5 linked regions of the Oryctolagus cuniculus genome follow. The protein of the gene in region 1 interacts with the protein of each later gene in a pairwise test. Links are inferred from orthologs where the notes say so. Each region holds a gene or a part of one and is shown in the gene's direction. Other genes may lie near its edges.

Region 1 (4,249 bases):
GAATAACCCAGGCATGCCTGTGAACTGTCCTCTCTCTTTCTACTGAGACTCGTGGGCTGGCAGATTTCAGAAACCTTTAACAACTGAGGAAATGCTATTATAATGTCCCAGATATGTACCCAGCTTGCTCCCTCAGTGTGTTCGAGTTTCTGCTGATGAATCGTCTCCTAGGAGCTGGGTCCCCTCTGGACTTCTCTAGGTTAGCCTTCATGAACTTCTCTCTTCCTCTTCTTGGCATCCCAGTCCCTAGATACCTGGTACTTGGTAGCTGCTCAGTATGTCTCTGTCAATCATTGAATGCATGCATTCTGCTTTCTCTCCCTTCCCACCCTTCCAGGTTATGTGGCAATGGGCGCCGTCCTCCCCTCGTTCTGGGGCCAACAGCCCCTCGTGCAGCAGCAGCTCGCCATGGGTGCTCAGCCACCAGTCGCTCAGGTGATGCCGGGGGCTCAGCCCATCGCATGGGGCCAGCCGGGTCTCTTTCCTGCCACCCAGCAGCCCTGGCCCGCTGTGGCCGGGCAGTTTCCGCCAGCCGCCTTCATGCCCACACAAACTGTTATGCCTTTGCCAGCTGCCATGTTCCAAGGTCCCCTCACCCCCCTCGCCACCGTCCCAGGCACGAGTGACTCCACCAGGTCAAGTCCACAGACCGACAAGCCCAGGCAGAAAATGGGGAAGGAAATGTTCAAGGATTTCCAGATGGTTCAGCCTCCGCCCGTGCCCTCCCGCAAACCCGACCAGCCCTCCCTCACCTGTACCTCAGAGGCCTTCTCCAGTTACTTCAACAAAGTCGGGGTGGCGCAGGATACGGACGACTGTGATGACTTTGACATCTCCCAGTTGAATTTGACCCCCGTGACTTCTACCACGCCATCGACCAACTCACGTGAGTGCCCCTCACTTAAGACGCAGGATTTACTCCGTTGATAAAGTGACAGCTGCTTGTATCTGAATTCATCTTGGTTTGTTAGTGTCTTTAGGTGGAGAAAGGGAAAGGTAAAAAAAGAGATCAAAGTATACAAGTACAAAAAGACACAGGAGCAGTGAGTGGTGCTGTAGGTTTCTGACCATCGGAAGACACGTCTAAGTTTTGTCCATCTTGTCTGTTGAGATTGCTACTAGTAATAATAGTTACCAGTTTGGGTGCCACCGAAGGCATACTGGGATACACATTCTCTACATGCCCTGTGTCTGTTTTAAGACTTTTATCAATACTTATGACAGGTTCTGTTAAACCTGTTTGACAGATAATGAAAGTAAGCTTCAAAGACAGAGATACCAGACTGCTTCAATTGACTATAAGCCTAGTATGTTTCCACTGTGTCATTCTGTCTCTTAGGATTTTGTTGGTTTTCTCATTCGTTCATTCATTTATGTGTATTCAAGCTTATGATATACAGGTTTTAACTGATATAAAAATGAATAATGAATGTGAAAATCTATATTTTTAGGGGTCAAATTTAAAAATTAGATTAGAAAATTAACATCAGGAGGAAACTTAGTGCAGAGTTGCAGCAGCCTTAGAGCTTGTACCATTATTAGGGGTGAGTCCAGATTTTGTCTCAGAGCTTCTAGTAGTCAAATAGAAAAAAGTGACTGCACAGAAAGTGCTGGACTAAGAACCTGGGGACTACCTTTATTCCTGAGCAGATTTGTACTGTGGGGTGGGTCATTTGATTTCTGTAGGTGGCGGTTTCTCATGTGTCCAAGGCTATGGAGTACTAAAAGGATTCAGTAGTACATGTAGCAAAACATTATCAGGCTAATGACATTTGAAGTACTACCAGCATCAGTGTTACCAACATTCAGTGATTTTGTGCAGAGTCCAGGCCCAGGGTTCTACTGTTGGCTCCTCCATTATAAACTGTGTCCTTGGGCCGTCATGTGACTTTCCTGAGACTCCGTGTGTGACATTGGTAAAATAAGTGAATTGATTTGCACGAGCAGTGTGCCTCCTTCTAGTTCTTGCAGTCAGTGATTCTACCCCAATTCACTTTTCTGCTGCAAACATCTAGAAAGCAGTAACCATGCAGCCAAGTCAGGATCCAGACACGCTTGAGCACAAGTATGCTTATTCAACACAGTTTGGGGAAGGTGATCTGTGACCCAGTCTGCACCTTGACTATAGAAAAGGGAAAAGAAAAAGCTCATGGTACAATGCATTTGGCATTTTCATTACTGTCACAGGTGATATGGATCACTGCATGGCCAACACAGTGAATTGTCAAAAAACAATCTAATGTTAATGCAATTAGGTTATGTCATTCCAGCCAGGTTCACATGCTATTCTGAAAATGAATGCCTTCAGAGTGCACTCAGGCTGTATGATCTACACAGTGATCCATGTACTCAAACTCAACGAGCTTCAATGAAGAATAATGAATACAAAATGAAGTGCTAAAGAAAGCCCTGTATAAGTAAGCAAGCACCTTTTAAAAACAAAGCTTGCTCTGTCAGTGGGCTTGTGTGTCTGCTACAAGTGAAAGAAATTTAAGTTCTTTGAGGACAGGGAATATGTCTTCAACAATCCTACACTTCCCATAATTCTCACAGAGTGCATAGCCTGTTGGAGGCATTTGGGAAAGGTTGTAGAGAACTAAATGAACAAAGTAAGGCCATTCAGCTACTCTTACTGCAGAGCAAAATTTTGCATCCTTGACATTATTGACATTTTGGGCCAGAAAACTATGTGCTATGGGCAACTTTCTGGTACATTCTAGGTGTTTAGCAGCAACCCTGAACTCTACATACTAAATGCAGGTAGCATACCTTCCCTCCGGTTGTGGCAATCAAAAACGGTTCCAGATATGGCCGGATGTCCCCTGAGGATGAAATCACCCCAAAGTGAAAAGTGCTGTTTTAGAGTACACAAATATTCTGTAAAACCTTCTAAGGGTTAAGACACATGTGTCAATAAACTCCTGTTTATGCTCCCCGTTGATTTACTTGCTTACGTATGAGCAGTACACTTATTAGAACTGGCAGCTCAGCCTGGGTTCCCATCCGCTAGTAAACAATAAACCACTTCAAACACTATTTAGAATCCCACTAAGCTAATGTTTATTAAACCTCTGCTGTCCATCAGGGTGTTTTTAGTTAGCTTTAAACCCACTGTAACTAGTTTGTTAGATATAACCAAAATAAAACAGAGTTCCTTTCAAATTAAAAAATGCCAAGTGTATTATTTTAAAGAAAATTAGTAAAACTAGTTTTTATAGTCTCGTACTCATCAATACCCTCTAAAGAATATTTTGAGTGGTTAGAACATAAGTGAGCCTCAAATAGCAAGAGCCCAACACCCAATTGTACCAGTGTCAGACAGTCTTGAAACCCAAGGCTGCTGTTTCATTGCTGTGTTAACCCTGAGAAATCAGCTCACTAATCTAAACTGTGGTGTTTTTTTTTTTTTTTTCATCTGGAAAAAAAACAAGTTCAGTGACACCTAGAAGTTGTTTATATTAGGGAGAATAATGAACAGGAAGTCCCTAGTAGTGTCTGAGTCAATGACACCTTATAAATAAAACATGAGGAAGTAGCATTCCCACCCTTCATACAGGTTCACCAGGGCAAAAGGTACACACTAGGTTTTGCAGTCATTCACTGTTTCATAAAGTGCCAGATTTTCCAAGTTCAGGAATGTGATAATGGGGACGGCTCTCTCCATGCCTTTTGAAATGCAGCTACTAAGTCAAGCCATGCCTCCTCCTCACTTGGGACTGAGCCAGTGACTGGTATTTTCTGTGCCAAATTAGAAATTATTGGAAGAAGAGTGCTTTGAAATGACAGATCTGTTATAAGGCTCTGGAACAAATGAGAGAAGGGACATGCAGGAAGGTCGGCACAGCAAATGCAGATCCTTATAGACTCAAGTTGCCATCAGCCACAGCCATCTCCCCAGAGTACTGAGTCCTTGTTTATTCAGTACCTACTATGTGCCAGAATTCAAAATGTGGTTTTACCAGTTGCCATGAGCAAAGTAGCAACGTTGCCTTTCCTGATCTGTAGAACTGAGATAACCTCTACCTCAGAGAAGGTTTATGGGAATTAAAGATACTGTCCATAAAACTTCTAACATGGCTAACTCGTCAAAGAATGCAAGCCAATGCCCCATAGTTCTCAGCTTCAGTATGCATGGTGGGTTCTTAAAACACAGAGCTTCTGATTCGGTAAATGAGTCATAGGGACCAAGAATTTTCATCTCTAACAAATTCCCAGATGATGCTCACATGCTTTGGCCCAGGGACCATCC
Region 2 (4,865 bases), on another chromosome or scaffold:
CTGTCAGGTGGGCACCCACCTGCCAGGATACAGGGAGAGCACGTCGTACACCGGTTTATCACGGTGTGGGCGCAGTTAGGGCCCAGGGCATGCTGGGACTCGCCGGACGTCAGCACTGTCTCCTGCGTTGTGTTCCGACCACGCTGGACGGAATTCACAGCAAAACCCCAGATAACAGGGCTTCAACAAGACAGACGTGCTCGTCTCCTCCCTCACACAGCCCAGGTCTGGTGGCTGTGTGCTCCTCACACCCGGCTCCTCCACTCCAATTCAGTTTCCATCGTGTGATGCTAGGTGGCTGCCGCAGCTCCCGTCATCACACTTACATTCCAGTTAGAACTTAGCTCAAGGACCACAAACTGCAAGGGAGGTGGGAAACAAGTCCCATGGGCTGAAAAACTGGGAGAGCCCCGCATAGTGACACTTGCCCCCTCATAGTGACACTCGCCGTAGGAGTTCTGGCCTGGGTCGGCTCCCCTTTGGGGGTCGTCTCTGTATCTCGGGGGGCATCAAGCGTGGGCTCCTTCCTTGTGCTTGGGGAACGCCCCCGGCCGTGCAGAGGCCTGGTTCTGCCACTGGTCTCCCTGCGCGGTGCCTCCGTGTGCCTGGCCAGCGAGGGCGGGCCTCCCCGTGGCCGGAGCTCGCCCCCGCCAGCCCTTCTCTCCGGTCCGTCCCCACAGGCTCGTTCCTCCCGCCATCGGCCTTGCTGCCCGACACAGACTTCTTCCCCAGCACCGTGTCCCTGCCTGGCCTGGAGCCGCCGGGCGGGCCCGACCTCCTGGACGACGGCTTCGCCTACGACGCCACGGCCCCCTCGCTCTTCACCATGCTGGACCTCCTGCCGCCGGCGGCGCCCCTCGCCAGCGCGGTCGCGGGCAGCGGGGGCCCGGGGGCCGCCATGGGGGAGCCACCTGGTCCCGAGCCGCTGACCCTGGACTCGTACCCGGGCCCGGGCCCCGGAGACGGCGGCACCGCCAGCCTCGTGGGCAGCAACATGTTCCCCAACCAGTACCGCGAGGCGGCCTTCGGCGGCGGCCTCCTGTCCCCGGGGCCTGAAGCCACGTAGCCCCCCGCGGCGGGGCCGGGCGAACCCCCATTCCCTGGGGGCCCCCGCGGTCAGTCCTCGACCTGCTCGTCCTGCATCGGACATCTTCCGCGCCGGCGAGGCGCCCCGAAGCGCGGGCTTCCCTCTGGGTCCATTTCACAGAGAAGGAAACGGGCCCGGAGGGGAGCGGGGCCTCGCTCCCGCGCCCGGTCCCGTCCCGCCCGGCCGCCCCGGGCCGGACCTGCGGGGCCTCCCCCCAGGCGGATTCGGAACGCACTGTACATATCGGGAGGCAGATCCCCGGCCTCCCCCAGACCTGAAGACGGGGGGTCGGCTGTTTGTCCAGTCTTCCAATAAAGATAGTTTTTGAGCCTTGGGGGTCTCGCGTCTTCGCCGGGGAGCCCAGCTGAGGCTTCCGACTCTCCTGCGTCCCGCCCTCCCGGGCCCGCCCCTTTCCCGGGCCCCGCCCCCGAAGGCCACGCCCCGCCCCCGAAGGCCACGCCCCCGCGGCGGCGGAAACGCGCTCCGCGGCGCTCCTCCCCTCCCCCCGCGGCGCGGCCCACACTTCCGCTTCCGGTGCGGGCCGCGCGCGCGAGCGCAGCGGTGGGTGGCGGCGACCAGCCGGTGAGTGCAGACGTGGGGGCTGCGGAGTCCTGCTCTTTGATCGGGCGTGAACCCAGCTTCGCCCTGGCCCGAGGCCGTCCCCGTGCTGCCCTGGGCCTCTCCGGAGCCCGGGCCGCCGCGGTCGCCCGCCCCTCGCCGCCCTCGGCCTGACAGGCCGCAGGCCGCGCCCCTGCCCCCGCCGCGGGCCACAGCGCGCCGTGCCGGCCCCGCCGCCGGTCACAGGCGCCGCCCTCCGGTCAGAGGGCCGGCCCCAGCGCGAGGGCACGATCGGGTCAGCCGGCGCGCCCCCGCCGTCAGCCCACCTGCGCCTGCCGCGGGCTCTGCCCGTCCGCACGGACCGGCGCTCCCGCTGACCTCAGCCCCCTCCGCTCTCCTCCGCGCGCCCCCGCGTCCCCCGTCCCCCGCAGCTGCCATCGTCTTCCGTGCGCGACCCCTCCCTCCGCCTCCGCGATACGTTGTATCTTTCGCGTTTCTCCGTCCCTTCCTGCCCGCATCGCGGGTGGCCCGAGGGGAGCCTGCCCCCCAGCCCCTGGGAGTCTGCACACTCGCCGCCTCCGATCGCAGACCTTTGACCCCTGCACCTGCACCTGCTCCTGGGACTCTGTCCCTTTCCGGGGTTGCGCGCCGCACGGTCACCCACGGGTTGCTCGGAGAGCCCCAGCTCCTGGCTCAGGGTTGTCTGGGGGTCCCGGGAGCCCCTGGCACCGGCTTCTCCAGCCTCACTCCCCCCCCACCCGCATCTGGGCGATGAGGCGTTGAGGGTCACCAGCGTGTTGCATGGTTTTTTCAGACCGGCGGACACTCCGGGTCCCCTCATCCACCAGGTTGGGGCCCCGGGGGCTCGGCCGCAGCGCGATGTGGCACGAGGCGCGCAAGCATGAGCGGAAGCTCCGCGGCATGATGGTGGACTACAAGAAGAGGGCGGAGCGGCGGCGGGAGTACTACGAGAAGATCGTGAGTTCCAGTGCGCGCCCCTCCCGGCGCGGGGTCCTGCAGGCAGGCCCGACGCCCGGGTGGAGGCGGGGCTTGGGAGCCCTGTGGGCTCGGCTCTGGCCGCCGTGGTGCGCGGTGCGGCCTCCGCGCGCGGGCCTGAGCAGGCACAGGGAGTCCTTGCAGCGCCGCCCGTGGGCACCCAGCGGCCGTCTTCCCGGCGCCCAAGAGCTGAGGCACTTCTGAGGCTGGGCCTGGCACACAGCAGGAGTGGCGTCGGCATAGAGGAAGTGACATCTGACCACGTCCCCTTCCCGTTGGGTTCTCCGATTGCTGTTAGTGAACAGACCCAGCTCCGGCCCGGCCTGAGGGGCGCAGGTGCTGTGGCCGCGGCCCCGGCCTGTTTTCCACCTCTGACCCCCGGTGGATCGCCTCGCCTGTTTAGGTCCTACCAGTCCTCGGGATCCGCCGTGAAACACGCGTGTTTGCGGCTCCGGGGCTCCTTGGGTGGTTTGTACAGAGCGCCCGGCTCGCCACCGTGCCAGGGCCCCGCCTCCCAGGAGCCGGCCGCCCCCGTGCCCCTGCCCCGGACTCTTCCCTGGCTCCCTCCCACCCTTGGAGGACTCAGCTCTTCACCTCGGGCGCAGGGTCCCGCATGGTCTGCCTTCTGCCGCGCGCCCTGCTCTGCCTCTTTACTTTGCCCGGGCCATCCGGGCCTCCTTGCCGGTCCTCTGGACCGCAGTGCTCGCCAGCGCGGGGCCCTCCCGTGACGTGTCCCCACTTCCGCTGCCTCCTGCTCCTCTCAGATCTCAGGCAGGGAGGTCTTGTCCCCACGCTTGTGCCGCCCTCGCAATCGTGAGCTTTCATACCCTGCGTGTGTGCGTGTGTGTGTGCGCATGCGTGTGCATGCGTGCGTGCGTGTGTCTGTGTCCGCGTGTGTACACGGCTTCTACATCCAGGTCCACACACACCCAGTCAGCCCTGAGAGAGCTTGCATTTGCATGCCAGAGCCCAGCCCAGGAAACAGTCTGAAGCAATAGACAACAGTAAGACCAGCAGTTAGTCGGTTGGTTTTCTCGGGCTCCAGAGAGGTCTTTAGATGTGTCGGGTCTTTTTTTTTTTTTTTTTTTTTTTTATTTGAGAGGCAGAGTTACAGATGGAGGGAGGGAGAGAGAGAGAGAGAGAGAGAGAGAGAGAGGTCTTCCATCTGCTGGTTCACTCCCCAGATGGCTGCAGTGGCTGGGCTGTACCAATCCAAAGCCAGGAGCTTCTTCCGGGTCTCCCACGTGGGTGCAGGGGCCCAAGCACTTGAGCCATCTCCGCTGCTTTCCCAGGCTACAGCAGAGAGGTGGGTTGGAAGAGGAACAGCTGGGATTCGAACTAGTGCCCATATGGGATGCCAGTGCCCCAGGGCGAGGCTTAGCCCAGTACGGCACAGTGCTGGGCCAGCTGTGTGGGTTGTTTAATCCCCAGTCACCCGTGGGCAGGGGGGCTGCTGTTACCCCACCCCGCAGAGCCCTCCAGTTGCCTCTGGCACCCGGCAAGGAGCCACCGGGCAGGAGCGAGCTGCTCTCCGGTGGTGTCGGAATAACTAGAGCGTGACCACGAGCCCAGGGCCTGGGTCAGGCTGGGTCCTAGACAAAGGCCCGGTACGGGCCAGGAGCTCGTGGGCACGTGGAGGGAGAGCTGCCCCTGCCGCCGGCCTCTGCCGTGCCCTCCCTGTGCAGCAGGCCTGGGGGCGGGGCGCCAGCCGCCGTGCCTCACTCAGCCTGTGCCTGTGCTGCGTCCAGTCCTCACTCCAGACCAGGAGGTGCACCTGCTGGGGGGTGGTGAGCTGGGGCTCAGAGGGCAGAGCTGGCGTCTTAGCCAGCTGTTGAGCTGGTAGTCTCCTGCGGACGTGGAAGTTCAAGGAGGCAGAACCCTTGTCTGAGGTGGCGGCGGCTGAAGGCGCGATGCGACGGTGTGGCCTCCCGGTGCGGGCCAGGGCGCTCTGGCTCAGGTTCGGATGCCAGCTCCTGCGTGATGTGCGTGGCCGCTCTCCTGAGCCGGGTTCCGTGGCACGCGAAGTGATGGGTCGGGTTTGGCCGTCACAGACCTAGGACGTCAGTGGCTTAACCAGGCTGGACGTGTGTGTCCTGCTCACAGGAAAGCAGAGGGAGCGCGCTCTGCTCGGGCTCCTCCTCCCCGGCTTGTCTCCGTGTCTAAGAGGCCGCTCAGGCTCCCAGCCGTCCAGCAGGGGGAAAAGCCGTCTCTGGCAGTTGTCAGG
Region 3 (4,871 bases), on another chromosome or scaffold:
TGTGCTTTTCATGTTTTGTGTGTGTGTATGTGTGTATTTTTGGTAGAAACAGCTTGCTTTATTTCTTTATTTGTTTATGTGACAGTCAGAGAGAGAAACAAACACAGAGAGAAAGACCTTCCATCTGCTAGTTCACTCTTAAAATGTCCACAACTATGGCTGGGCCAGGCCAAAACCAGGAGCCAGAAGCCAGGCATTCAGTCTAGGTCTCCTACATGAGTGGCAGGGACCCATGGATTTGAGCTATTACCAGCTGCCTCCCATGGCATGCATTAGCAGGAAGCTATAGCCAGTACTAGAGCGGGGATTTGAATCCAGGTACTCTGATATGAGATGCAGGAGCCCCAAGTGGCATCTTAACATGGTTTGGAATGCTGACTCCAAGGAAGCAGCTTTCTTACAATTTGTTTTTGTTTTTATTTCCTATAAATTCACATTAAATATGAGTTTAGGTGAAATAGAAACTTATAGCATTCTAATTATCCTCTAAGTACTCTTTATTGTACCTTTGGATATCCGGTTAAATAAAAAGCAAAACCGTGATACCCTGAGAGCATGATAATTTCTAAAACTCAGAAAGTGGTTCTTGCAATGTGCGGAGGATTGCATAATTACTATTTTTCTTGCAGTCCACCCCCTTCCGTTTCCCCAATGAGCAAGAAGGGTGGAGCAACTGCGACACAAAAACTTAAGACTATCCAGTGGCTTCTGTAATCTGGCAACTTGAACCTGGGAGAAATGTATATTAGGGATATTCAACAACTTTGTGGGCAAAGAGTATTATGAAAAAACTATGTGTGGATTTTAAAATTTTTAAATATTTCATAATAAACATATCTTTTATTTCCATTTTCCCAAAACTTTTTAAAGTACCTTTGTATCTATCTGAAGTTGCTAGCCATATTTGCTTTGTTCCACTGTTTATGTCCTCTTTCTACTGTTGCCCCTATTGTCCTTTAAATATTTTCATTTAGTGCTCCAACCTGGAAGATATTTGACCAGTTCAGTGCTCAGCCTGGTAGGCTCTGCACCTGTGTTTTACTCTTGGGGCTGCAGTTGTGAGAGACTATTGCTCGGGGATAGGTTAACAGTTTCAGTTTTGCAAGGCTTTATCTATAAGTAACAGACAACTATTCATGAGAAAGGAAGCATAAGACTTGTAGGTAGAAAACCACGGCCCAAATTCCAGGAAAACACTCATTTACTAAACCTTTTTTTCGCTCTAAGTTGCCTACAGTCATATTAGAATTTAGGTCATATTCCAAAGACTTTATATTAATTAGACATTACTATAAAAGCAAGTTTATTCCTCGCATATAAGCGCCACAGTTTTCTTCAACATAGAGCAGGATTTTTTGTTTTTCTATGACTCTCATTTATTTAGTAACACAGGAGATATTTTCTTATGTAAATGAGCATAATTTATTTCAAGTATAAGTTTTGATATCTTTTCTAAAATTTTCCTGTACATATAAATATGTGTATACATTAATTATATTTGTATACAAGCACAAAATATAGCTTGCTATCATGATTCCAAGTGTAAGCTTTTGAATAGTTTTCCATTCTCTGTAGAATTTATAAAGCATAATGACTCTGGTGTTTCACAACTTCCTCTTTTGGTGCACTATCCTTTTACAGGGAGGGAAAAAAAATAATGTGGCCAGAAAAGAGAGTCTAGCAGAGAACAGAGCACTTTGAGGTGCTGGCAGTTTAACTGAACCAATGAAGCAGCTTAACAAGCAACTATAAATAAGGCATAGAGGTAAGCAATGCTGTTTGATATTTTTTCATTTATTATTTGGATTGTTATCTATATACCAACAATTTAAATGTTGGCCACACTACAAAGTAGACTAGAGAAATCTAACATTTCTCTCGAGAGTAGTCAATATTTGAAATGAAAAATTCAATACATTTAAAGTTTCAACCTCACAAACAACCTTTTTAAAAGCTATAAAGAAAGCTTTTAAAAAGATGAAAAAAGTTCTTATTGATCTCCCAATTATTTTACCTGTAAAATCAAACACCCCCTTTCATATGCAATTTTACATGCAACTTTGTGCTACAGAAACTTCTGGATTAATAATAAATTTGAGAACCTTCTTCTTTTTCAAATAGTTTTCTTTTTGCATAATATTGTTTGACACTTTCCAAGAAAAAGAAAATTTTTGTATTTGCTTTTACCTAGGTGAAACTATATTGTGTTATTTTAAATGTGATATTTCTATACTATTTTTCATATCAGCACAATATACTTAAATTTGGAAAAATATAATTTATAGTATAGCTAGCATGACTTAAAAGTCTAAATAAGTAAAGCTAATTTTAGAAACTCATCATTCGCTTAATAAGATTAATTTTTATTTTCAATGCTTAAAATGTAGAACTAAAGCAAAGACCATTTAAATTGATAATAAAAAAATTAAACTAAGTGGAAATTTATCCTTTAATGAAATTCTAAAATAATCTAGAAGCAATAGAAAAAAATTTGTTGTTTCAGCCAATCTAGAATAATGGTACACATATTAACCGTATTCAATAGGATTATATTCATAAGATCATAAGATAGCAATTTTTAAATCTTCCTTTTAAAATCCATTGCTTGCTTAGACTTTGGTAAAATCATCCCATATGTTTAATTTAGTACAGCTTTAAAAGTGCATTTTAAATGAACTAGTCTGGTTTTATACGTAATGACGTTCAGGTAGTTTGCCTGTAAGTACTTTTATAACTTTCATAACTCAGAGTACTTTTTGTAAATTAACCATATTGAGAATTTGCCACACATTACACATTTGTATGAGATTTGGTAAAACAGATATCCCAAGTAATATATTTGATTGCTTATTTAATTTTGGCTTATATTTCAGACAAGTCTCATGACTTCCCCAAAAGAAAGTCTTATTTCAACAGTTAACGGATTTGTTTTGTAACTTTAGGACACAATAATATCATGCTGATTTAATTGTAGTATTTAGTGACCGCTTGTCTTCTTAAACTATTTTCTGCAATTCTCTATATCAATACATGCTGTCATAACTATCGGGAGAAGAGAAAGATACTATTACTGTTATAAATTTGGAAAATGAATCCTTGACTCAATTTAACATCCTTAAGCCAATCAAATATTTTAAATTGATAGTTGTAAGAGATTCATTAAAATTGTGCATCTTTATGGATCTCACGCTAATTAAACACAACTACTTTAATCAGAATTTGGTTTTGCTATTTGCAACAATACCATTTTTTGATACCCCTCTTCTCTCTTTTTTAAAAAGATAGAAGCATTTTTAATTTCTATGGGTATGACATGAATAATGTAATATTACACTAAGTAGATAAAAACCACTAGAAAACATAGCCCATAGAAATTAGTTTAACTTGGTCATCATTGTAATTCAGAACTGCAAACGAAAGCCAAAGAAGTAGGAAAAAATGCCATTTTCTTGCAAGATAGCCTTGTTGATTTCATTGCTGTTGTTTTTGTTATTATTGAGAATTACTAAAGTCTGAATGACCGATTCAGTGACAGATTATGAGAAATAAGTTTAAAATTTCTTCTTTCTTTGAGAAAATTCTATTTACAAAAGAAAAAACAGTGCTTATCCGAGGGGGTTTTTATGAGACATGCAGATTGCTGAAGGAGAATGTTTGTGTCATGATGAGAATGGCAGGATACATTACATGTATTTTTTATTTCACATACTGTCATTTTAACAAACCATTCAGAGCTGGTTACAAAAGCCCAGAATTTTAAAGTGAAATTAGATATGAACGGTCATAAAAAGGATAATGGAAAATTCACATTATGAAAAAAACTATGAGTGGATTTCAAATTTTTCCAACAAAATAAATGTCTTTTAATTTAATTTTACCATGAAGCTTTTTGAAGTATCCTCATTTAATATTATAAATAATTTATAGCAAGATAGATGAATTTTGACTTTTGAAGTATAGATATATTTTACTGTTTCAATAGATTATATTCATGTAACACTTATGTAAGACAGACATTTTTACTGACTCTAAGAAGTGCTAAATGTGGATGGCTACAGAATCATAAAATTTGGTCTTTGCCTTAATAAAGAATGGTTGGCTTTGTGGGTGACATGTGGGTGACCTGTTGGGAGTCGCCAGACCTGATCTTGATAATAATCTCAGTTAAGTGGGTATCTCTGCCTCCTCTTAGACGACCTTCTCAAAGTGTCCATCTGTAGAAAGGAAGACTTGGTTACAGAGTGCTCTATTTCACCTTAACGAAGGACAACTACACTATTTAATTTCACTTGAAAACAATGCTATTTGTGACACAAATTACTGAATTTCCAAAAGAACATTGAAATATTTTCTTTTTCTTGATTGTTTTGTCTATTCTTCTTTTGATTGTTTTTCCATTTGCAAGAATAAAGAATATTTGTTGCCTGAAAGAAAAATTATGGTTTGGGTGCAAACTAAGAGACTGACATGTTTTGAATTCAAAAAGAAAACCTTCTATATCTAGCCAATAAGGGTCTTCCAGACCTTTAAAAGTATTTGCATCCTCCTACATCTATTGACTTTCTACTTATTTTTAATGAAGCCAACTTTCATATAAGTGTCATATGTGGCATATATGTATTTATTATATTAATGAAAATACGTGCTGATACTTGAGAAAACTCTTGTATTTGCAAAAATAAGCGTGATTACCGTGCATGTGCTCTCAAGATAGATTATGTATTTCATTTTCATAGAAGAAATAATTTGTGCATATATAAAGGATAAGGACAAGCCATTTTACATTTCTATCAAAGCAAACAATTGAAATGCAGTATAGTTTATACATCTGCACTATATAAAACAAAAATATCATTTGCTAATTTCTAATT
Region 4 (4,831 bases), on another chromosome or scaffold:
TTGCAGGATGTGCAGCAGTCTCCACAGCCTCTACCCACTAAATTGTCCCTTCCTCCCTTTGTGACAGCCATAACTGTCAAGACATCACCAGATGTCCCCTGGAGAACAAAACTGCTCCTAAGTGAAAACTTCCGTTCTGCTGTGTCAAATGCTATCCCATTTGCCAGCTGGGTGAAATCTATTTTTGCAACTCCAATTATCTTTTACAATTATTATGCTAAGATGTGCTTAAAAATGAGAACATTAAAAAGTTCTTCATTTTTTGTCATTTGACTTGTATCACCACTGGTAGTCAACATTTTAATGAATCTATAAATTTGCTGTGATATAAGCCTATAATACTTAACATATCTTAGCTGTAGGCTAGGAAGTGTTTTGAGTGCTTTATAGGGACCACTCCTTAACCATCGCATCAGACAGAAGAAGTGGTAGTATTGCTTCCTCCGACTTTGCAATCGGAGGACTTGAAGCACGGGGGTTCAGTAACTTGCTCGCACCCCCTCACCCCCAAGCAAGGTGGCTCCGCAGCGCCCTTGGCCTCCTACCTCGTCCTGCCTCTGTGTTTTCCCTGAGCCACGTCTCTGAGCCTCGATGTTGTTAAGGGGCACCCATGTGGGTGCAGGGACTATAATCCGCTGTCTTCCCAGGTGCATTAGCTGGAAGCCAGATCAGAAGTGGAGGAGCTAGGTCTGGAACTGGCACACCGATAAAGCGCTCCCTTGTTCACCTGCAGCCCTTGGCACTCCCGGCCACCCCCGCAGCAGCTCATGCTTCTCCCACCTGCGCCTCCTCTCGCGCTCTCCTCGCCAGGGAGGAGGAAGCAGCCAGAGTGAGAGGAAATAAGTAGATTCCAAAGGGCCCGCGGGGGGAAAATGGTTTAGCCCAGCGAGGCCGGGTTGGCTTTGGACATCTGGAAGAAGCAGGTGGGAAGAGGGAGGCTGGAGAAGCCAAACTTAGGCTTCGGGCACTGAGCTGCTCGTCACCAAGGCAACTGCGTTGTTATGGCAACAGCACGGGTACCACCGCCTCCTCCTCCCACAAGTAACCTGCACAGCGGCCAGACGCTTCCGCATGAGGGTCGTGCGGCCTTCCGGGAACGGCTCGGGCAGGCGGGAACTGCTGCCCCGGCAGCCAATCAATAAGCTCTATCCTGTCGGGTCGGGTTCCGCCCGCCAAGAGCGCCAAGAAGGGGGTTGGGACTTTTTTCGCTCTCGCCAAAGGGCGTTGAGAAGGGCGGTCTCGAGTCTCTAATCCACCACTTAGGAGCCAAGGAGAGGAGAGGGGCGGGGCCTGAGTGAGCCCGACTAGGGGCCGGGTACCAGTGTAACGTGGGGGGATCCGCCCACTCTCGCTTCTGCCCAGTAGCAAGACGGAGAGCTCATCCTGACGGTTGGAATGTCCAATGAGCGTCGCTGCCAGGCCCCGGTGCGGAGAACGCCGAGCCAATGGGCAGCGTCGGTGGGCGGGCGCGGGTGACAGGCGGCGCGGCGGAGGCGGAGCGGGCGCTGCGGCAGGAGGGAAGATGGCGGACGAGGAGAAGCTGCCGCCCGGCTGGGAGAAGCGCATGAGCCGCAGCTCAGGTGCCGCGGGGATCGGGGCCGGGGCAGGGCCGCGCGGGCCCACGGAAGCAGGGCGCGAGCTCTGCCCTCGAGCGCGGAGGAGCCCCCCGCTTCCGTCCCGTGAGGTCTGGGCTCCTCCGCGTCGCCCTCGGAGTAACGGCGCCGGCCCGCCCCCGTGGAGGGCTGCAAGGCTCAGGAGCCGGGAGGAAACTGAGGCAGGGGGCGGGGCGGGGGAGGGGCCGGGGAGGCCGCGGCGCTCCCTGAGGCGGCGGCACTGAGTCTGCCAGCCCGGCTGTCTGCAGCCAGCACGGGCCTGCTGCACCTGTCGCTCTGCGGGGAGCTGGGCCCGGGGCACTCCCTGGGGAGGGGGATACCCCTCACCGAGCAGAGAGGCGTGGCACACACACCTGCCGGCCACACCTCTTCCTGAGTCTGCTTGGAGCCCAATCGAAAGCTTGGCCCCGTTAGGTGTGCACCCCGCATCGTGTTTTTAGTTCTCTGAGAATTGCCGCACGTCTGGGAGATGGGTCGTTGGTGCGCCCATTTTACAAGTGGGGACGCTGAGGCCAGGAAGTGGAAGGATGTCTTCCAAGATCGTGCATTTCAGGGGGGTTGGAGCCGGCTTGGAACCCAGTCTGCCTGCTCCAGGGCCCCTGGCGCTTTTCCTGTGTCACCGCGAGCGCCCGAGGAGCTGGCCCGGCTTCTCTGAGTAGGTCTAGGGTCCCTCTGCCGCCCCTGGAGCCCGCAGTGGCCACAGTCGAAGTAATAGTCCTTGTGTGTCGACCCAGGGGAGGTTTGATGGTGTTGATTCGCTCACCCCCATTTTGCAGATGAGTAAAACTGAGGCTCGGGGAGATAAGGCCCACAGACAGCATCTTAGCCTCAGTGGGTGGCTCAGCTGGATTTGTTGCTGGAACCCCCCGATCCCCTGTGTTATTTTTTCTTCCCTGAAGTTAGCAGTCATTGGGGTTCTCTTGTTGTCGTCTTTGCTGGTTTGGAGCCTGTCTTCCCCCACTGAGCATGTGAGCCCCCTCAGTACAGGGGCTGTGCGCTGCCGTGTCCGCCCGTGGCGCAGGGTGGACACGCGATGGGTTTGCTGCCCTCCCCGCAGGCCGGGTGTACTACTTCAACCACATCACGAACGCCAGCCAGTGGGAGCGCCCCAGCGGCAACAGCAGCAGCGGTGGAGGCAAAATCGGGCAGGGGGAGCCGGCGCGTGTCCGCTGCTCGCACCTGCTCGTCAAACACAGCCAGTCCCGGCGGCCCTCGTCCTGGCGGCAGGAGAAGATCACCCGGACCAAGGAGGAGGCCCTGGAGCTGATCAACGGTGAGCAGGGGCTCTCGGGCCGGGATCCTCTCCACTTCTGCTCTCCCTGCTCTGAGGCTCGCCGACTCCAGGAGGAAGAGGGCGTTTGGAGGTAGAGCTGCAGGAGTTCCTGCCAGAGGGAACTTGGGAAGAGGCTCATCCTGGGCGGGGCCCTTTAAATCCTGGGGGCTGGGGGCGGAACTTGGGGAGGCAGCCGGACGCAGGTCTGGGTTCAGCAGAGCAGGGAGGCCAAAAGGACATGTGGGGTGATCCGGGTAAGGTGGCAGGAGGCTGAGCGGCCTTCCCAGCTCTGGGTCGGTGCTGCGGTGGGGCTGCACTCACCAGCTTGGGTCTTAGGAAGGGATAGACCATGAGCAGGTGGGCCCGGGCCCGCTCTTCCGTAGGTGGAGATTTGGGGATGTCAGCAGGCTGCCAGCGCGGGGGGGGGGGGGGGGGGCCTGTGGAGGCTGTGGGAGAGATTGCAGGCAGAGGCAGTGTGGCTCGAGCCTGGGGTGGGCCGAGGGTGGAAATGAGGGGGAGGCGGATTCTAGAGAGATTCAGGAGACAGACTTGGGAGGATGCAGGGGTGTGTGAAGTGGGCGAGGCTCTGCTTGGGAGGCCCACCACACCCTGGGCTCCTCAGGACTGGGGTCTTGTGCCAGCTGTGTGTCCTGGAGCAGCTGTGTTCTCTGAGCCTCGGTGGCTGCCTCTGTAGGCTGGGCGCGTGTCCCCATGAAGAGCCGGGAGCCGTGGGCTCGGTGTCTGGGGCTTGACCCCAGTCCTTGAGGCATATGCATGGGGGAGCTGAGGTCGAGGGAAGGCCTGGGCTCATGGGCTGCTTCTCTGGAAAGATCTCTGGGCCTGGACACGGGCGGTCTGGTGGGCTCAGCATAGACCCTCTGGTGACCTTGGACTGCGACCTTCTCTGACTTCAGTGTCGTCCTGCTCGAGGTGGGACTGGTGCAGGACCCTCAGAGGTTGCTAGGAGGCCGTGGTGAGCCGGCCTTGGCTGTGGCGCACTCAGTAACCAGACATCCTGTGTGTTTTCCACAAGCCTTGGGTGCCTGGGCCTTGTCCTGTGTGTGCAGGTGACTGCTCCCCCGGTCTGGCTGTGTTCCAGAGGATCAGGAGTCGATGGTTTGGCCAGCGCCCTCCCCAGCTGGCAGCCTGGGCCCACACGAGTCTCCTCAGTGCCCACTGGGACCCGGTGCTGCCCCGGGAGACGCGTCTGCAGCGAGAATCAGCGCCTCCACCTCTCTGCAGAGGCTCCTCTTCCCAGCATCAGCTCCTCTGCAGCTGCTGGGCTGCCGCCAGGGGCTGTCAGGAATCCGAGGCCCGCCCAGTGTCACTGTTGGTGTCCTTGCCTGAAGCGGCCAGCCAGGGGGAGCCATCCCTGCCTGTTTCCCGTCCCTCCATGCCTGTGTGCCCAGGGTCCCAGGGAGGCCCCGACCTGAGGATCCCCCACCCAGGGAGGGCCAGTGGTCCTAGGCTGGGCCTCTGGGCCCCTTGCTGGATCTTAGGTCTTCTGGGGACATAATCCTGACTTCTTTCCCTGCCCAGGCCCCTTCCCCTTTGGTGCCTGGGTGCCATTGGACTAGAAGCAGCTTATTGAGTTGTAGGGCAGGGCAGGGAGTTTGTCCCTAAACCTTTTTGGGATTAGGCACCCCTCTGTCTGTTCACTCATGTTCCCTTGGATGGTTACAGTGATCTGTTAGCTTGGGCTCCATAATAAAATACCACAGACTGAGGCCGGCGCCGCTGCTCACTAGGCTAATCCTCCGCCTAGCGGCGCCGGCACACCGGGTTCTAGTCCCGGTCGGGGCGCCGGATTCTGTCCCGGTTGCCCCTCTTCCAGGCCAGCCCTCTGCTGTGGCCAGGGAGTGCAGTGGAGGATGGCCCAGGTGCTTGAGCCCTGCACCCCATGGGAGACCAGGAAAAGCACCTGGCTCCTGGCTCCTGCCATTGG
Region 5 (4,249 bases), on another chromosome or scaffold:
CACCCTCCAATGGCCACCGTGGCCGGCGCGCTGCGGCCGGCGCGCCACACTGATCCGATGGCAGGAGCCAGGTACTTATCCTGGTCTCCCGTGGGGTGCAGGGCCCAAGCACTTGGGCCATCCTCCACTGCACTCCCGGGCCACAGCAGAGAGCTGGCCTGGAAGAGGGGCAACTGGGACAGAATCCGGCACCCCGACCGGGACTAGAACTCGGTGTGCCGGCGCCACAAGGCGGAGGATTAGCCTAGTGAGCCGCGGCGCAGGCCACACGTGCATCTTGATCTCAGACATGTTCAAGTGTAGGCAAACGAGCGTCTTAGAACGGATGAATTGTGGGAGCAGCTGCAGTCTGTTGAGAACTTACTTTGCACAGTGCTCCCCCTTACCCAAGGGTGAGACTGCGTTCCCAAGACTGCGGCTGGACGCACCAAACTCTGCCTGCGCTATGTTGTGTTGTTTGTTTGTTTCTCTATACAAATCTATGATGTATACATTAGGCACAGTAAATATTAGCAATAACAAATCAAATAGAACCATTAAAATCCTAGACTGTAATTAAATTGCCAGCATCACTACTCTTGCACATTGAGGCCATTGCTAAGTGAAATGAGAGCGACTTGAACGCGAGTTGTGATCCTGTGGCAGTCGGCCTGGTGACTGAGACGGCTGCGGATGACTAACGGGCAGCAGGGAGACGCTGGACGCAGGTGGGGGAGCATGACCACACACAACCTCGTCATCTCCTCTTGCTGCGCAGAACAGCAGGTGGCTTAAAGCTCATGAACTGTTTCTCTTGGGGGAACTGAAACCACATAGGGCAAAACGCGGATGAGGGGCGAACCCCCGCGTCTAGCTTGGAACTAGATTCAATGTCTATCAACCCTCACAGCAAGAAGTGTGCAGGACAGGAAGTGTGGCCAGGACAATCAAATTCCCCCAGAACTCCCAGCAGGGCCAGGACTCTGGTCCAGACACCAGGACCTCCCATCCTGCTGGTTCCCTGGGTCCACAGGCAGTGTGAATCCCACGCAGATCAGCTGTGGGCTGAGGTTTGGTTCTGTCCAACACGTGAGCCACCACACCAGACAGGCTCTCAAAGAAGTACTTAATAAAGCTCAGTCACACCGGGGTTTGTGTAATGAACTGATAAGAATAATTTACAACTAGCGCATCCATCCAAGGGAGCGGGGAGCTCAGCCCACATCTCCCGCATGGGCCACGGCGACCCAACTGTTTGGGCCGTCACTGCCGCCTCCCAGGGTGCACATTAGCAGGGAGCTGGAGCAGGGTTGGAGCCAGCACTGCAACCAAGTACCCCAACATGGGGCGCAGGTGGCTTAGCTGCTAGGCCGAAGGCCCACCCCAGCAAGTGGCCGGTTGTTAAAGGGGCTCGTTGGTGTGATTTCCACCCTCACCACAGCCGTGGGAGCCGGCGTGGCTGCTCGTGGAACCCTCACCACAACACAGTGAGATCATCCCCATCTCCCTACGGAAACCGGGCCGCTGGCTGTGATGAGCCCCGTGGCGGTGGCCGTAGGCTCCTGCACGACACCCACACTGCGTCAGCCCCGACCTGAGCCCCGGCCGGTCTCTCCCTAGTCCATCTATTACCCCAGTGGCTCGCCTTCCTCACAAAGGGCGGGGCTTAGGAGCGGCCAGTTTTTTTGATTCCAGGGATGATGAATGGGCGGGAACGAATAGGCTTTGTTAAAAATCGTAAACGCTGTTTTCAGCTCCCAGCTGCAATGAGTGACATTTTTCAGCTCATGGGAGCCCCAGCCCCTGGGCCTGGGCTCTTGGAGGAGCACGGGGGCCAGTTCAGAGCAGCCCAAGGCTGGAGAAGGGAGGCCCCCCAGCCCGTCCCCAGGGACCGGAGATGCCAAGTGAACTTCTGGGGCTATTGGTGACAGCGATGCTGTTGTCCTGGACGGCCGCACACACGGAACCTGGGAAGAGCCCGATTCTGTGTTCTGTGCTGCGGGAGCAGAACCCAGAGGAGCAGAGAGTGCGACCTGGAGCGGGCGGGGTCAGAGCAAACCCTGCAGAAGCGTCGCCACGCCCAGGCGTCCGCGGATCGCCGGGCTCCAGGCCCGGGCTTGTGGTCATCGTGACCAGTGCAGCACCCGCTGCTGGGATGGCTTTGGAGACGACAATAAGCAGCCTTGAGAAGCTGTCTTCTCCGGGCTGGGCATTCGGCCCGTTAATTACAGCTCCTGTTCAGATGCCTGCATTGCACATCACGGGGCTTGGGTTCGATGCCTGTCCCTGGCTCCTGGCTCCTGGCTCCGGCTTCCTGCTGCTGCACAGCCTGGGAGGCAGCGGCGATGGCTGCCGTCGCTGGGTTTCTGCCACCTGTGCGGGAGAGCTGGGTCCAGTTCCTGACTCCCAGATCTCTCCTGCCCTGGCCTTGGCCGCGGAGGGCATCTGGGGAGTGAACCAGCAGGTGGGAGCACTCACTGTGTCTCTCCTCGTCTGTGTCTCTCCCTGTCGAATAATCAATCTTAAGTAAATAAATAAATAAATACAATCATGTTCTCAAGTCATAGTGCAGCATGTCGGCGGAGCACTTCTGTGGGGAGAGGGAGGTTGAGGGCGGGGAAGGAACCCACCCTCCCTGGGGTTTGTAAGAGGCTCTGACTGGACCACGGCAGCCCCACCGGAGCCTGTCCCAACCGTGTCCCCCGGTCTCGTCACAGCTGCAAGGGTGTCTCCCACTACGGCCTGACCAAGGAAAGGAAGCGGCGCTCCCAGCATGGCTGTCCCGACGGCTGCGCGAGCCTCACAGCCACGACGCTGTCCCCAGAGGCCGCCACAGCCACCTCCAGCCCCTGTGCTGCGGACGAGCCCGGCCTGGACAACCCTGCCTACGTGTGCACGGTGGAGGACGGGCCAGCAGCCAACAGCGTGGCCGACACCGGCCACAGCAACCCAGTCAGGGGTGAGTCCAACAGGCAGTGGTCCGGGGGTGGGCTCTGTGCCTTGGGATTGCCCTCTGTGGCTAACTCACCATGGACAGTTCTAGGAATGTTGCTTTAACGGGAAACTGTTGGGGTAGTTTTGGCAGCTTACCCAATGTCCAGTCTGCAAAGCAGACCAAAGCCCCAAGGATCCCAGATCACCAAGGCTGTGTCTGTGCCTTGGTGTGGGGCCTGCGGGGTCCTCAACCCACCCCCCCCCACACACACACACACAGCACTGCCCGGGGCACATGCTCTTCTAGCCAGTTCTGCCCCGGAAAGAAAGAAAAAGACAGATTTCTCAACAAGCTGCAAACACGTCATTGTAGAAAGTTGAGCAGATCCTGTAGGTGAGCAGACGCTAGAATGTGGCCACACAGCGGTAGTCGCTGGGGCCGACCGGGTGCACCCGTGAAAGACATTCTGTCCACGGACAGCGACTCTCCTCTCTCTCCCACAGCACGGCCCTTTGAGCGGTGCACCATCAGGAGCCGGTCCTTTAAGAAAATCAACCGCGCGCTGAGTGCTCTCCGAAGGACCAAGAGTGGTGGGGGCGCGGTGGCCAGCCCCGCTGGCCAGGGCGGGGACAGTTCTGAAGACATCGCAGGCCCGGAAGGTAAAAGAACCTTGGGCGAGGCTGGATAAGGGGCGTGTTTCCAGGGGGACGTCCATCACTGGGGGTGACAGCCACACCCCTGCCCCCGTGGCCCTCCCTTCCCTTCAGGTTTGTTGTTCCCATTGGGCCAATGAGTGAGCTGAGATCCAGGGGGTTGGGTCACCAGCCCCCAGTCGCCCAGCTAGGAAATGCAGAACCAGGGTTTAACTCAAGTCCTTGGGCTCCAGAGCCCAGTGGCCCGGCCACCAGCCTATACCACACACCTGCCGCAGCCCGCTCTCGGGGGTGGGGGTCGGGGCGGAGGAACCTCTGAATTTATCAGAGCCAGGCCTGCGGTGTCAGATCTTTCCAGATGGCAAACGCAGAGGCAGGGCCCAGAGGCTTCCCGGCCTCCGTGTTCCAGCCCGAGCCGCCATCCCCAACACCCCTCTGCGCACTTCTGTTCCAGCTGGGGTGCAGAAGCCGTGCTGTTCCAGGCTGCTGGCTGCCACACGGGGCTGCAGGGGATCCCACGGAGGCCCAGACAGCCGGGCTCTGGGCTGGTGCTGCAGACCAGCAGGCTCTGCCATGCCCAGGCCGGTGCCGCCTTCCCCTCACGGCACTTAAACAGCCGCACTTGGGAAGTAAAGGCTTCACTGCCAGGCTGCCAGGTGGCCACGGTGTGGGGCGGAGCCAC

What was found.
Region 2: the proteins of DAB1 (region 1) and CLASRP interact in a two-hybrid assay, tested with the Homo sapiens proteins (2 studies listed by BioGRID and IntAct). The link is inferred for Oryctolagus cuniculus from reciprocal best matches to the Homo sapiens genes DAB1 and CLASRP.
Region 3: the proteins of DAB1 (region 1) and MBNL1 interact in binary tests that used the Homo sapiens proteins (3 or more experiments, as listed by UniProt). The link is inferred for Oryctolagus cuniculus from reciprocal best matches to the Homo sapiens genes DAB1 and MBNL1.
Region 4: the proteins of DAB1 (region 1) and PIN1 interact in binary tests that used the Homo sapiens proteins (3 or more experiments, as listed by UniProt). The two-hybrid records come from large-scale screens. The link is inferred for Oryctolagus cuniculus from reciprocal best matches to the Homo sapiens genes DAB1 and PIN1.
Region 5: the proteins of DAB1 (region 1) and LNX1 interact in binary tests that used the Homo sapiens proteins (3 or more experiments, as listed by UniProt). The link is inferred for Oryctolagus cuniculus from reciprocal best matches to the Homo sapiens genes DAB1 and LNX1.

The regions. Positions count from the first base shown.
Region 1 is NC_091438.1:116,065,081-116,069,329, forward strand, and holds part of DAB1 (disabled homolog 1), read left to right. Parts: intron 1-337; coding exon 338-886; intron 887-4,249. UniProt on the Homo sapiens protein: Signaling adapter of the reelin-mediated signaling pathway, which regulates the migration and differentiation of postmitotic neurons during brain development.
Region 2 is NC_091449.1:11,677,161-11,682,025, reverse strand, and holds the start of CLASRP (CLK4-associating serine/arginine rich protein), read left to right. Parts: upstream 1-1,540; 5' UTR 1,541-1,669; intron 1,670-2,459; 5' UTR 2,460-2,524; coding exon 2,525-2,623; intron 2,624-4,865. Other genes in the region: transcription factor RelB, read left to right, coding at 681-1,066. UniProt on the Homo sapiens protein: Probably functions as an alternative splicing regulator. May regulate the mRNA splicing of genes such as CLK1. May act by regulating members of the CLK kinase family.
Region 3 is NC_091435.1:128,811,835-128,816,705, reverse strand, and holds the start of MBNL1 (muscleblind-like protein 1), read left to right. Parts: upstream 1-1,661; 5' UTR 1,662-1,765; intron 1,766-4,080; exon of another isoform or gene 4,081-4,247; intron 4,248-4,871. UniProt on the Homo sapiens protein: Mediates pre-mRNA alternative splicing regulation. Acts either as activator or repressor of splicing on specific pre-mRNA targets. Inhibits cardiac troponin-T (TNNT2) pre-mRNA exon inclusion but induces insulin receptor (IR) pre-mRNA exon inclusion in muscle.
Region 4 is NC_091447.1:67,377,114-67,381,944, reverse strand, and holds the start of PIN1 (peptidyl-prolyl cis-trans isomerase NIMA-interacting 1), read left to right. Parts: upstream 1-1,425; 5' UTR 1,426-1,522; coding exon 1,523-1,580; intron 1,581-2,670; coding exon 2,671-2,886; intron 2,887-4,831. UniProt on the Homo sapiens protein: Peptidyl-prolyl cis/trans isomerase (PPIase) that binds to and isomerizes specific phosphorylated Ser/Thr-Pro (pSer/Thr-Pro) motifs.
Region 5 is NC_091439.1:110,395,267-110,399,515, forward strand, and holds part of LNX1 (E3 ubiquitin-protein ligase LNX), read left to right. Parts: intron 1-2,696; coding exon 2,697-2,938; intron 2,939-3,417; coding exon 3,418-3,573; intron 3,574-4,249.